Alligator mississippiensis: one gene and its partner. The protein of the gene in region 1 purifies or fractionates together with the protein of each later gene. This does not show direct contact. Links are inferred from orthologs where the notes say so. Each region holds a gene or a part of one and is shown in the gene's direction. Other genes may lie near its edges.

Evidence for each region. The genes of interacting proteins can lie anywhere in the genome.
Region 2: the proteins of PTCH1 (region 1) and GRK2 purify together in Homo sapiens (affinity purification with western blotting; 3 studies listed by BioGRID and IntAct, with this or other methods). This does not show direct contact. The link is inferred for Alligator mississippiensis from reciprocal best matches to the Homo sapiens genes PTCH1 and GRK2.

What each region holds. Positions count from the first base shown.
Region 1 is NC_081826.1:206,077,354-206,084,470, reverse strand, and holds the start of PTCH1 (protein patched homolog 1), read left to right. Parts: upstream 1-4,116; 5' UTR 4,117-4,488; coding exon 4,489-4,695; intron 4,696-6,434; coding exon 6,435-6,627; intron 6,628-7,117.
Region 2 is NC_081825.1:176,049,164-176,056,824, forward strand, and holds the start of GRK2 (beta-adrenergic receptor kinase 1), read left to right. Parts: upstream 1-4,655; 5' UTR 4,656-5,377; coding exon 5,378-5,490; intron 5,491-7,661. UniProt on the Homo sapiens protein: Specifically phosphorylates the agonist-occupied form of the beta-adrenergic and closely related receptors, probably inducing a desensitization of them. Key regulator of LPAR1 signaling.

The sequences.
Region 1 (7,117 bases):
CCCCATGGCAGAGATCAGGAAAATGAATGGTCTGCGCCTCCTGCCAAACGCGAGAGCCGAGGTGTATGGTTACAGAGCCCGGGTGCGGTCCAGAAGGGCTAAAAAGCTCTCCAGGGGGACTGTCCCCCCTCGGTGCACACTGCGGGGCTGAGGGCAGGCTGCCAGGGAAAGGATCCGGTTTGCAGGCGATGCTGGGGTGTGCGAGAGGATGACAAGGGCTGCTCCCGCTCGGATCCCCCGGCGGCTGCAGAGCCGGAGGAGGCTGCCCGGAGCGGGGGCGGCTGCAACGCCCTGCGCTGCCTGGCTGATGCTGGAGATCGCTCATTTGCTTCTTTGTGGCGCGCGGAGCAGTTCTCCATTAAAGGCGATCAGGGGTAATTAGCCGCATTATTTTGACAAGTTGGCTCGAGCAGCCTCCCTCGCCTGTTAGTCCCGAGGAGGGAGGGCGAGGGCGAGAGCGAGGGCAAGAGCCGAGCCGGGCTCCCTCTCCCCAGCCCTGAGCCCCCCGCAGCACCTGCCCAGACACACGGGCGAGATGCTCTGCCGGGAGGAGGACCGGGCGGGGGGTGGGGAGCAAGAACAGGGTTTATTTGGCGATTGCATTCAAAGGGCTGCAACAGCGGGGCAGGACATCCCCCCTCCCCCCCACAGGCCTTATTGGGCGGCACAGCTGGATGCCAAAAGGAGATCGGGGCGGGTGTGGGGGGCAAAACCACCCCCGGGCACAAAAATGACAGGCGAGTGAGCGCCCTCCAGGTCAGTTTTGTTCCTGCCGGGCAAACAAACAATCTGGAGGGCAGGTGTTTTCTTTCAATGTCCTTCCTTTATTCATGTAACCGGATGCTACAGGCAGAGCAGTGATGGGGGGTGGGGGGGAAGCCCCCTAACACGCTGCAAGAGTCGCCGTGAAGCCATCAGCAACCTCCCAGCCCCTACCCCTCGGGGCTGAACTCCTCTGCCGGGCATCTGTGCCGGGCGGACAAAGCCTTGGCTGGGGATGATCCAGCTGGGGATGGTCCTGCTCCGAGCAGGGGGTTGGACTAGATGTGACCTCTCGATGTCCCTTGCAAGGCTCCTGCTCCGGGATGCCAGGGGGGCATATAGGAAGGCGGGTCCTTGGTGCCAGGCACCCGGAGGGGCCAACTGGGCGGGCCCTGCCCACCCGGGGGGAGCGAGCCGGGCCGGGGGAAGGCAGAGCAGTGCCGGCGGGAGGTGCCACCTCGGAAGGCCTCCTGCAGGCGAGGAGCCGGGCGTGTTATCACCACTCCGATCTGTGGGATCCTTGAAGTTTAGGGTAAAGAAAGGAGAGGGGGAGAGCCCCGGGTGCGGAGCCGCGGTGACATGCGCAGGGCATGCATATTAAAGCCAACAATGCTTACAAATGTAAATAAGGGCAGATTGATTAGGAACAACATTATCGCTGGGAATGCAGCACTCGCATGCATCAGCAATGAGGCAAATTGGGGGCAGCCACCGCTCCTGACCACCCAAGTCGAGACAGACTTTTACTCTGACACTTCTTCCTCCTCCTCCTCCATTTTTTTTTAAAGCGCGGCAGAAACAAGGCCAATTAGATCCTCGCAGTAATTCATCTCTGGGGTATGAAAAAAAAACAGACCACAGGGGGAGAGGGAGAGATTAAGACACCGCTTGTTAAATCTGAGCCTCCCGATTACACTGGGGGCACCAACCGGCAGGATTTATAGGCGCCGGGACAGGGCGGGAAGGCCTACCGAGGCGAAGCTGCCAGGCAGGAGGCAGAGCCCGCGGGCTGGCGCCTCGGCCCCCGCGCAGGGGGGACAGGGTGGTACAGGGAGCACCAGGAAGCAGAGGGGAGATCATTGCCCCCCCACCCGCCGTGCTGGGACCCGCATGCAAGCCCCCTGCACGCCCGGTTGCTGCATGCATCCGCCCCCTGCAGAGCGCGCGACTCCGCAGAGGCCCCGCGGCGCGGGAGCCGCGCGCCCAGCCCGCTCCCTGGAGCAGGTTCTACCCCCCCACTCGGCCCGACCCGACCCCGCCACCACAGCTGTGCAGACTGAATGGGGACGGCTCCCCCCGCCTCGCCATTGGCCCGGAGCGCCCAGCCCGGAGCACCATTGGCGGGCGCGAGCCGCAGCGCCCGCCCCCTGGAATGTACTGCGGCTCGTCTGGCACGTCTCCCGGCCGCCAGAGGCCAACCGAGCAGCTGCCCCTCCCGGGCACCGTGTGGGCGCCTAGCGCGGGTTCGGGTCGTACCATCTCCACCCCCCTTTCAGAATCCGAACCCTCAGGGCCCGGCCGAACCCGCCGCGCACTTGAGGAGTCCGGCCCAGGCGCCCGTGTGTCACGTGACGCCGCTGGGCCCCGCCCCCCGCGCGTTCTTTTTTTTTTTCAATGAACACACACCGCGCGCCCCTTAAAGGGACACGGCCCCGAGTGGGACCTGCCCCCCTCATCCCAGTGGTACAGGCTGGGGGGTGGGGTGCAGAAGCACGAGGGGGAGTCCCTGAAATGCATGCAGATGGGGGGGGCAATGCGGTGCAAAAGCCACCTCCGGGGTGACAGCGCCTCCTGCAACCTGTACAGAGGCACAGCCCCCCCTTGCACCCCTAAAAGCGTTTCCGATGGGGAGCATCTCCCTACACGGGCATCTCCTTCCCCCCTCCCCAAAATCAATGCATTGATTTTTAAGTATCTATTTAAAAGCAACTCATTGATTTTTGGGGTGCCAACAAATAAAAATAGCCCCGAAACAAGCTGGCGATTCACGCGGAGCGTGAAAAGCCTCTGGGGACTGAACTTGACATTGAAAAAAAATTGTGGCGGGGGGGGGGGGGGCGAGGTATTAAGCGGACTTTGCTGCAGAGTGAGGCTCGGGACCCCCACGCTCAGTTAAACCGCGCGGGCTCCTTGCCCGGCTTTACATCCCTTCTTCTGGGTGTTAAATTTCCATGGTGTGTTGTTATCATCATTACCATCATCATCATTATTATTATTAATTATTATTTGCCCCCACCCTCACTGGTCCTTTCTTGCAAGGATCTGTCTCCTCTTTAGTTAAAAGGAGAAAAGAGAGAGGGAGGGAGGGAGAGAGAGAGAGAGAGGAAAAAAAAAAATTGGCACTTTCCCTCGCAGTATCCACCACCCTGTCATTATTTGTGCAAGCCTGGGAATTCAGCTCGGACCTCCCAGTATTTGTTGCAGCTTGAGGCCAAGGTGCCTCTAAAAGGATTTTCTTTTAAAGGCTTTAGAAATCGTTCCGTGGGTTTCTTTTTCTTCTTTTTTTTTAAAAAAAAAGCAAAATATATTTTTGAAGGTGGATGTGCAGTAAAGGCTTGCGCGCGTGTTTGTCTAAAAGCATCTCGTAAAAAAAAAAAGAAAAAAAAAGAAAAAGAAGAAACCGTTGTTGAAAAGAAAATGAAGAAGAAAAGGTGGGGAGGGGGTGCGGGGGGAGAGGCATTCCTTAATGGAAGTATTGCATGCAAAGAAGGCTGGATCTCTTTAAGGCTCCCCCTGAAGCTGGAGATGCACACACAAGGGTTGCCTGCCTGGGTGGTCTCTCTACTTTGGTGAGCTGTTGCTAAGCAGCTAATAATAGTCATGTTTGCTGAGTAATTTCTGCCCTCCCTGAGCCAATCGCGTCCCAGAAAGCCCAGCCATCTGACAGCCCCAGGGGCGGGATTTGAGGGCTTTTTTTTTTTTCTCCTTCTTTCCCCTCTCTCTCCTCTCCCCCCCCTTCACCCCTCCTCCTCTTTATCCAAATGGAGAGAGTTCTTTTTTTCTTCTTCATCTCATCTATTGAATCAAGGAGCTGCTGCTTGCTGCTGCACACACACGGAGGGAGAGAGAGACACACACACACGTCCAGAGGGAGAGGGGCACCGCGGAGCCGCCCGCCCTGGGACTCAGAGACAGCTCTGCCCTGAGCCAGACTGGGACCGCGCGGCCAGAGGCAGCGGCGGCAGCGGCAGCACCTCCACGGGGAGCACGGAGGAGCCCCAGCCCGGCTTGGCTTTGCTTTTCCACGGAGCAAGACCGAGGCGGCGGGGAGGGAGGGAGGGAGGGAGGGAGGGGAAAGGGGCAGGAGAGGGGGGGAGCCCGGTTTCTTTGCAGCTGCGAGAAGCCAAGTGGAAGCGGGAGGATTAAACCCCCAGATCCCGGGCCGGGGGGGAAGCCGCCGCACTCACCCGCGCCCCGCTCGCACACACGCTGGATGCGGGAAGCGGAGCCCCCCGGATCCTCGCGAAATGTTGCAATGGAAGGCGCAGGGTCTGCCTCGCCGGGAGCCGCCGCCGCCGCCGCAGCCCGCGCGGTGTGAAGAGGTGGCTTGTCAGCAGCAGCAGCAGCAGCCGGAGAGAAGCGCCGCCAGCTCAGCCAGCCCCCGGTGCCCCCGCATCGCCCCAGCGCGGCCGCCGCGCGCCGCGGGGAAGCCCAGGCGAGCCAGCCCGCGGGTCGCCCAAACAACAACAGCCGCCGCAGCAGCAGCCCCGTCCCGGCGGCGGCAACATGGCCTCGGCTGGTAACATTTCGGAGCCGGAGAGCAGCGGCGGCGGGGCTGGCGGTGGCTGTAGGGACCCCGAGGGGCCGGAGGGGAGCGGCAGCAGAAGGCGGAGGAGGACCGGGGGGACCAGACGCGCTGCGGCGCCCGAGCTGGACTGTCTGCAGCGGCCGAGCTACTGCGATGCAGCTTTCGCCTTGGAGCAGATCTCAAAGGTGCATGAGCCTCTGGCTGTGCGTGCGTGTGCGCGCGCCTCTGGGTGTCTGTGTGTGCGTGTCTTTCCAGCGATCTTTTTTTTTTTTTTAAAGGGGGGTGTCTATTTTTTTTTTTTTTTTTTTGCATGGAAGGAGGAGATGGGAATGAAAGAGCCACCAATAAAATGCTGGGAGAAAGAGGGGGACGTCTGTGAGTCCGTGCGGAAGAGCCTGCCCTCCTCGCCGTCCTCCTTGCCCCCGGGGGGGTGGGGTGCTCCCCGGCTGCTCTCGTGCAACGCTGCCCGGGACCCTCTGCCGCCTGCCCTCCTCTTTTGTGGGTCGCCCTCTTCTCGGTTCGGGTGCCCGGCTGCTCCCCATCCCTGCGGAGCGCTGTGCCGCTGCCTGGCAGCCCCGGCTTCCGACGGGAAATGGGGATCGGGAAAAGATCGAGGGTTTTTTTTCCGGGGGGGGGGCAAAGAAAAGACGGGGGTTTCCTTCGGTCACGTTTTCCAGTCCGCGGGGGCATCGCGGCTCTCGGAAGGGAGCAGGCTTGGAGGAGAGGAAGTTTTGTCCTGTTGAAACCCCCGGCGCTTGGAGGAGAAGTGAAAGTTGTAAACAAATTGCCACCTTAAATCTGCCTTGCAGGTCAGGTCCCCCCATCCCCTTTCTCCCCCCTTTCTATGATCCCGGATCCTCGCTTTTATTGTTAATATCGAAAGGCTCCAAACGCAGGGACTGACTCTGAAACAACAACCCCCTCGTCCCCAAATAGTCCCGATCGCTCCCTTTTGCAAGGCAAAAAGGTTCCTAGCAAACCCCAGCGAGGAGGCATCGCCTTTCTTCGGAGATCGGTTCATTTCAGGCAGCAGATTTCTTTAATTTTATTTTGGGGGGGAAGGCTTTGCAAGAAGTGGAAAGGCAAAAAAAAAAAAAAAAATCCATGTGGCTGCCCTCTTCCGTTCACAAATATTGTCGTAACTTACAGATGGCTGCTCTGCTTCACCATTCCGATCACACAGCGTCTCCAAACTCTATGGAAATGAATGACTATTAAGCTTATGATCACGCAGCATTGCTCACCACGTGGGTCGGTCATTTACTACACACACAGTCGGGGCCGGGAGCTGGGGAGGGGGGAATCGGCAGCAAATTGGTACAATGCAGCTTTCCCCCCACCCCCTTTACCGATGTAACAAGAACAGGAAAGGGGGATTTGATTTGATTTTTTTTTTCTTGGCATGTTGAGATTCATCTGCTTTGATTCTTGCTTCCCCTGTGCTGGCAATCTTGCCAGCATGAATGAATTTTTGATTACAGAGCTGCACTGATTTGTATTGCTGAACTGATGGCAGTGACTTGCTTGCAGCAAGGCTGGGATGGGCTGGATGGGAGGGCAGGCAGAGGCTGTCTCATTTATCCGGATCTCCTGCAGTGATGTCACCCAAAACCTGGGTATTGATTTATGAATAGGAGACTCAGCCGTCTACATGCACGTCTTAGTCCACACCACTGTGTCCGGTGCCTGGAGGGCTGCTCCACAGAGACATGGGCTGCAGTCCAAGGTGTCTTGTCCAGGGTTCAGGTTGTCCTCTTCATGTCCCCGCTCATGGATGCTCTGAGGCTCCTGGCACTCCTGCGTGAAGATGTGATGATGCTTGGAGGCTGCTAAGAAGGAGGAAAAAAGCATGCCCACGCTGTGCGTGTGGGTGTCTATCTGTCTGTCCCAGGCTCTCAATGGCTGCCCTTTTCTTGCCTTGCAGGGGAAGGCGACTGGAAGAAAAGCACCGCTGTGGCTAAGAGCGAAGTTTCAAAGACTATTATTCAAACTGGGCTGTTACATTCAAAAAAACTGCGGCAAGTTTTTGGTTGTCGGCCTCCTCATCTTTGGGGCTTTCGCTGTAGGATTAAGGGCAGCTAATCTCGAGACCAACGTGGAGGAGCTCTGGGTGGAAGGTAAGACTTGGTCCCTGCTCTTGGGAGCCCTTTCTCTTTCCTCTGCCCTCCTTAGGGCACCTCAGGGGATCCAGAAGAGATCCTTGCTGGGATCTTCTGGAGCTCACTACTCCCCCCTCCCCCCCGGCCCCCCATGAAGGTCAAGGCAGCAATTTGTGGCCAGCCTGTCACCCAGGCCACAAGTGTTGGCTAGAGCAGCGTTTCTCAACCTGTGGGTCAAGACCCAAAAGCGGGTCGCAACAATATATGAAAGGGTTGCAAACACACTTGAAAAATGCATCAAAAATAGGTTCTTCTTTAAAAAAAAGTGGGAAACCGTGGCTTTTTCCCTGGAAGGCTGGCAGAGTTGCAGCCTGCAAAGGGGCTGCTTGGGGACACACTGTGAGGCTGGGACCTGGGGGCTCGGGTCGCCATCATAGAGGACAGTCCAGTTGTCCTCTTGGTATAAAACTGGACACCTTTATGTCCTCAGAAGAGAAAAATAGAGGAC
Region 2 (7,661 bases), on another chromosome or scaffold:
AGCCAGGCCCAGAGATAGGTAGGGGGATCCTGGATCCTGCACCCCAATGCTGCATCCTAGCAGGAGGAACCCCTGCCCACTCCCCTCTCAAGTCCTACATGTGTGGCTGGTTGCTGCCAGGCTGCGCTCCATGCCCAGCAGGGAGATTCCCACCCATGGGTATCAGGGAACAGGGCGAAACCCATGGGCTATTTTGTCAGGGAGTCACAAATGCAGGAAAAGGAACAACATGAGACAAACTATTTGCATGAAGGTCTATCGCTTCTCATCCATACCCCAGGGCTGTGTCACTTGGCTGCTGGTGGTAATATCCTTCAATGCAGCTAATCTCATTTTGTCTGTCTACAGTGAAACCAGTGACCTGGTTCCTTTATTTCTGCCTCCTCAGCATGTGCCCCTCACCCACGCTCCTGAGCAGGCAGCACCCAAGGGGAGAGCTTAAAGAACAGCAGCAAACCTCCTCCTTTCCTTTCTGGGTGTCAGAATCTGGGTTCTCCTGAAATGGGCGCTGTTGACCTAACTGCTCTATATCAAAAGCAAACCCAGAGAGGCTCTTACCAGTCCCACCTTCCATGAATGAAACGCTGGATAATCAGAAAGAATCCAATTGACTTTTCATCATTTTTCCTAGGAAGGTGGATTTTCCCCTTCATTCCTCTATACTGGGGGGCTAGAGGCCTGCACATGCATTGTCCTCATGTTGTCAGAACCACAGTGTCTAGGATATAAGCATGGAAAGGAGGAGAAGCTTTCACCAGTTAACCTGAAAACAATGCTTTTCATGGAACATCGTGCTTGGTCTTGTGTTTGCCCAGCTGGGAGTAGCTTGCTACTTGCACTGCATCACTGGAAAGGATCCAGCCTGCCTAATTCCACCTCACTTGATTCTTTGTCTTGATCAGTATCACCAGACAGATTTAAAAAAAAAAAAGGGGGGGGTTGGTTTTTTTACTTCCGAGAGCTGTAGGTGTTATCTTTTTAATTGTTTCCTAAGGCTTAAATCTTGTTAACTCAGAAGTTATCTGCACACTCTGGCTGGCACTCTTTGGAGCCGTGCTTTATGAGTAGTATTCCGGTAATGCTTCCATCACTACTACCCTACTTCAAGATCAGGGCCATGTTGTATTGGGTGCAGGACGGACGACCTCATGTAAGGTGAGCCCTGCCCCAAGGAGCCCACAGTCTAAACAGAAAGGAAGGAGGAGTATTCTTGGGCCACAGTGAAATGAAGTGACTTGCCTACAGTCACCTAGAGAGTCAGTGGCAGTGCTGAGACTTGAACTTTGGTCCCCTGAGTCCCAGAACAGTACATACCAACAAGGCCACCCTTCTGGCAATGCTTTTCCTTTAAGACTTCTTAATATTCTTCTCCTTTCTGGAGGTTCTTGATTGGCAGCAGTCAGCGCCAGCAGGAGGGACCTGCACTTCTGCCTCTACACGTGCCCAAGTCTCATCTCCTCTCTTACCACAGGGATATGGGAGCTGATGGCCCAGCAGGGGCCAGGAGGCAACTGCTGCGGCTCTGAGAGAGCTGGGTTCACTCCCTACCTTGAAGGGCCATAGTACATTGTGGGCTGAACACCTCCATGTGTCCTCACTGCCACCTATGTGACAGGGCTTAGGGAACACATCCAAATGGGCTGGACAATACTCAGCTGGGTTTAAATTCACAGCTGGAGGAGGGAGGAAATATACCTCTGCCCTCTCAGCCAGCCACCTCTGTGCTCTCGGCCATTGTTAATTTTCCCAAGGTCCTAAATAAAACCCATAAAGCAAGGAGCCAGAGCCAGTCAGAAAAAGGGAAAAAGTGTTTTGGGTTTTTTTAACTCTTAGGAAGCATCCAGTTGTAAATGCTGCCTTGGCTTCTGCAGGAATTGGAGCAGAGAGGTCTCACATGCCCATTCTCTTCTCTGAGCCGGGTGTCCCAGCCAGACTACATCTCCCACAGTCCCCTCTGCTTTTGGAAGGGGGTGGCAGGGTATCACCGGATATTTTGGCTGTAGTACATCATGGGAGGTAGGCATGAGGAAACCAAATGCTGGACCAGTCCCAAACCCTGCTTTGTTTGTTTTCAGATGTTTGGGATTTGAAGAGGAAAATCTCCATCTTCTAAGGGAAGCGGATGTTCTCCTTGAAGAGCCGCCTTTGGTTAAAAAGCCAGTTTTCTATTAACAAACCACCCTTTCTGATTAGACCCATGTCCCAGGTCTGCTTCTCTGGGACCTTGGTCAAGGTACAGACCTGAGGATAAGACAACAGTGCTTATTCTTGTAAGGATAATGTGCCACATGAGCATGTCTTAGCAAACATGTCCCCAAGGCCGGATTAATACATAGGCAAACTAGGCACATGCTTAGGGCCTTAAGTGAAGAAGTGGCCCGGTTGTGCTTATTTGACATGTTACTTTTTTCACTCAATAATTATAATATAAATATACAGTATTAAGTAGGGAGGGGACCACGAATTTGTTTGCCTAGGGCCCACTAAAGGGTTAATCCCTCCTGCAACCAGTTAGGCACGTGCTTAACTTCCAGCGATTAGGTAGTCCCATGGACATCGCACCAGTGAAGTTAAATATGTCAATATTGCCAACTCTGCAAGCCTTACAGTGTTGGGTGCTATACGTGGGAGCCCCTGGTCCCAGTCGTGATTCAGTAGGAGATTCCCTGCTTTCACTTTAACAAAAAGGTAAGTTTCTCGTCCTTGTGGGCTAGAAGAAAGCCTGCAAAGGCTTGGAAACCAGAAAGCAAATAAACCAGTTGTTTTTTAAATACCCATGGTTTTTGAGATGGCCTCAGGACTTTGTCTCAGCCCAGCTTGTGAATTTTGAAGCCTTGTGGCTGACGGTCCTGGAAGATGGAAGCGGCACCATTTTGGCAGAAAAATAGTAAGCAATAAGATGGCAATGTTCACTTTCCTCCATCATTTAATAGTGTTGGAGTGATGTAGTAGCCATGATTGTCCAGGAAATATGCGAGAGGCAAGGATTTTTGTGGGCGATATCTTTTATTGGACCAACTGTATAGTTGGGATAGACTTAGACAAGCTTACGAAAGATGTCCAGTAAAAAATATCATCCACAAAAATCCTTGTCCCTAAGCCAGTAGTTCTCAACCTTTTTAGACTCAGAGCCCTGAGGCACCCCTGACTAAGCACAAGGCACCCCTTGGAAAATGCCACCTCTTCATTTTTACTACAGAAAAATAACAGGGCAATTCTTCTGTTGCAAAGAACTCAGAAAGGCCATAACAGGGCAGAAAGATTTTTAACACTATGACTTCCTATTTGAAATCTCTGGGTTTTTCTTGTGAATCGTGTTTACATACCTGCTAGCGCTAACAGTATGTGGCACCCCCAGCACCCTTGAAAGGATCTCTCAGCACCCTAGTTGAGAATCACTGCTCTTAAGTAATGAAATATTTTCCATCCTTCTCATGGCTTGTGTGCTGTTTGCCTCTTGCCTGTGGAATTTGTCTGGGCAATGATAGGATCATTCTGGTTGGTTTCACTCCCATTTTTAAGCCTCTTGCAAGGGAGGGAGTGGGGCTTTTTATCCCAGCAGTGAATTTGACTTGATTTCCTTTCCAAATGGACAACACTAGCGGTAGCATATGTAGGGGTGGGCAGCGGGACAGCAGCCCCAGAAATTACTTGTTTTTGCCTCTAAACGCTGGTATGAATACTCAGAGTCCAAACAATAGGTGGACTCCTCTCTCCAGCTGTGCTCTATGCATTTAAAGACAAAGCTCGGGTATGCTTTGCCAATAGGAAGACCAGAACTGATTTTTCTTTCACATGGGGAGCTGATTGGCAGGGCCCTCATCCTTAGACTGGTAGTTCTGAGGCAGGCTCTGCCTTTTCGTTTCAGGTGCATACCAGGCCAGGAATGTGTTTCATCCCTGTGGACTAGAGCACTCCAGCGGGGTGCAGGACTTTGCTAGAGATGCAAAGACTTGAAGGTTAGGCAGGATCACTGCAATAATCTAATCTGACTTCCTGCATCGTGCAGACCAGCAAACCTCGCCCAGGAATTCCTGCGTCGGGCCTATACACTTATGGTTTGAGCTAGGCATCTCGGCTCAGCTCCCAGTCTATATTCAGGGAAGGGGGACACAGGGTGTACCAGGTCCCACGCTGCTCAGATGCAGACCTGCCCCCCATCCCAGTCCTCCACTGTCCTGGCAGCATGGCAGAGAGGAGATCACAGGTTGCAGCTTGGTAGGTTTTCATGTGGCTCCTCTTTCAAAAGCAATTGCCCCTGGGAGGACCTGCAGTTGTTACTGTGCCCTCCACATGCTGCACTTGTGTACCTGATGCACTCACGCAACCAGGTAAGTGGTGCCCACCAGGCCACACGTGACACATGCAGCCAGCTGTTGTGCTGGCACCGCCATCGTCAGAGGCTTTAAGCAACATTTTGGGGGGGGATGTGTGAGACTTCAAGCAACAGCGCGCGCGTGTGTGTGTGTGTGTGTGTGTGCGCGCGTGTGGCGGAGGAAAGGAACAGGAGAACCTGGCCTTGTGTGTGCAGGAGAGAAGGACGAACACATCAGCTGAGACCTCCAGAGGGCAGCGTTCAAGCTCTCTGTCCTCCCAAAAAGCTTCACTTCCAGGTTTTCAAGGCACTGTGACTTTAAGCTGCAGCCAGGGAGCGGGGGGGGGGTGTGTGGAAGAGTCTGCATGAGAAACACACAAGCCTGCAGCCAGCCAAGGAGGAAGAGTGTGAGTGCAGGAGCCTATCCTCAGCGCCTTGCTCTCTCCCCCTTTTCTTTTTTTAATGCCCCTACAGATTCCTTGGAACTTCTTATTTCCCCCCGCTTGCACTGACTCAAACACATCTTTTAATCTCCGGGCCCAGGCCCCCCCCTTCCTCTCCCCACCACACACACTCAGCCTTCACACTCTGCTTCCCCCGAGTTCACACCCGCACACACTCCACTGAAAAACAGAAGCAGTTGTCAGCAAGAACGAGGGGAAGACAGCCGGCCAAACCCCAGTCTCAGGGCACTGGAGATCCGCCTCCCTTGTGTGCACACACACACGCGCGCATACACACTCACACACACAGCCCTAGAGAGGAAGAGGCGGTGAACAGCAGAGGAGCTGGGGCTGATCAGAAATAAGGAAGACGGGAAAGAGCTCGCTTGCTGCTTTTCTCCACAGGCATCATGTGGATCTCTTGGTGAACGGGCTTGGGGGGAACGTACCCCCTTTTTCTTCCCTCCCCCTGCCCCAAGCCCTCCCTCCCCCTTCACAGCTGGCATCAAGGGGGCAGCGGGGGGCTGCCTCTGCCGCTGAAGCCTGGGGGAATAAAATACAGTAAATAAGCTTTTTTTTTCTAAATAAGAAAGAGAAGGGAAAAAATTTTTCTGGCAAGATGGCCGACCTGGAAGCTGTCTTAGCCGATGTGAGCTACTTGATGGCCATGGAGAAGAGCAAGTCCACTCCGGCAGCCAGAGCCAGCAAGAAGATTCTCCTACCTGAGCCCAGGTGAGCCCAGGCAGGTGTGGGGCAGCTGGATACCTAGGCCCAGCCACATCCCCTCCTCCCCCGGGAGGAGGTCAGTGTTCGGTGGGGTATTGCAAAGGACCCACCACCTTGCCCTCCAACTCCCCCTCCAAAATGCCCACCCCCAGGGCCTCCCTGGAGGCAGAGCTGCCAGCCCAGTGTGGGCAGAGGGGTCTGGGTGGCATTGCTTTAGGAGGGGAGCAGTGTGTGTGACTGGGCATGGCGGGGCAGTGGGGGTGGGGGGGAAGCTGGTGCTTTCTGTCATGTCGAAGCTGTTGCTTCCTGATTCTTCTCCCTCACGCCAAGCCCAGGTCCTTCTGTTTTCCTGCGTCCCTCTGTGTGCCTGCCTCCTTTATCCCCCACCCAGGGAGAGGGGAGAGAGGGTGGTGATTATACCCCCTCCACTTCTTTCAAACCCACCCCTCAGACCCCAAATCTAGGTTCCCCTCCCCTTCATGTCTGTCAGCGTGCAGCAACCGGGGCTGTGCTCTCCTTGCCGAAGCAGCCCTAGCATCCAGGACTAGTGAACCCGGGCACCTTGTAACAGTCAGGGATGTTCGTTAGAGATTGTCAAGCATGCACCTGCGGGCAGGCACAGGGGACGCTGTCTTGACCTAGGGGTACACAGACCCTGGCATGTTCTCACACCTTCTGATCCCCCACCCTTCGCAGGGTCTGGACTCAGCCCCTGCCTGGCCCAGCCTTGCCGTGCTGTGCATCCATCAAGCACATGGTCAAGGGTCCATGTAGTGCAGCCCAGGGCAGGAGATGTAGCACCCATGGCACTTTCTTCCTCCCAGAGGACTTCAATGGGACCACCAGGCTGCTGTGGTCATGGCCCAGCCAGGAAAATGCAGCTGGTTCTGGGGTGTGAGGGATCTGGCAGGGAGGAGAGAAAAGGCCTTGAACCAAGGGCTCTAGGGCTGCCTGCCCCCCGCCCCTCATCTGTCTCCCCTACACATACCTCCTGTGCTAGCCATGCTGGACAGATTGGGGCTAGAGCTGTGCAGAGTGTGTCTGAGATGGGCTTATGCCTAGTGCGTGCAGGTGGGTGGGACGAAGGGATGGATAAGGAGCTGGAGGCCTGGATTGGTGGTTGCGGGGGTGAGTAAGAATTTGGAGGGAGGGGGCCAAGTCATCCAGATTCAGTGCTCTTGTCTCCAGGGAGTTTAGCTAGACTAGACCCCGCTACCCCCCGAGCAAGACCCACCCCTCAGCTTTATGGAGACAGTTTACATTCAGGTCCTGCCAGTCTCTGCCCTTCCCCAGTATCCCTGTTAAAAAGCATCTCTGCCCCACGCTGCCCCTGACAGCCACAGGCATTGCCAGGCCCTGGGAGAGGGGATCTCAGAGCTCAGGCCCCTTGTTGGCCCCAGGTCCCAAGTGCCCCCTGGGCCCATAGCACGATGGTGTTGAAGGAAGCCCAGGCCCCACCACATGGGCACGCTAGGTTAGTGATGACTTGTGGGAGACAGCAGGAAGCCAGCACCAGGCCAGGGGGTGCTGAGAGGTCACACCACCCTGGGTGATTTTGGTATGAGTGTAGTCCATCCAAATGCATGTGCGATACCCTCTGCCCACACTGCCGGTGGGGATAGACCCCAGGCTCCACAGAGGGAGATGGCAGCCTTGCTGCCTCCAGCTGCCCCCTGGTCAGCACAGCAGGGAGGCTGGCCTGGGGAGTTTTCCCTCAGATCTTTCCCTACTGGAAGTAATCACTTGTTTGGAGTGCCCCCACCTCACAATCCCACTGTCTCGGTACTCAGGCTGGGTGTGTTGACCCCCCCATGTCCCAGAACAGGATGTCTCCTAGGTCCAGGTCTGCCGAACCCCTGCCCTGAGTTGTCTCTTCCCCCCGTAGATTCACACACCTGATCCTTCCACACTGCTCCCTCCCCCCATCATTGCAGGATCAGGGTCGGCTTTGCCAGCCCTGATGGGGGCGTTGCACAGGGGGCGTCTAGGCTTAGGGGACAGAGGGCACTGGGGCAGGGTGCAGTGGAGCTCGGCCTTTGCAGGTGGGGAAGTGGTTTGGCCTTTACATGGCTGTGGGCACTGGGCTGAAGGCACAGTGAAGGTTAGGGCTGCATGGAGGGAGAAGTGGGGGCTTAGCTGGTGTGTGAGGATGGGGGCCCTAAACCAAGATGTGGGGC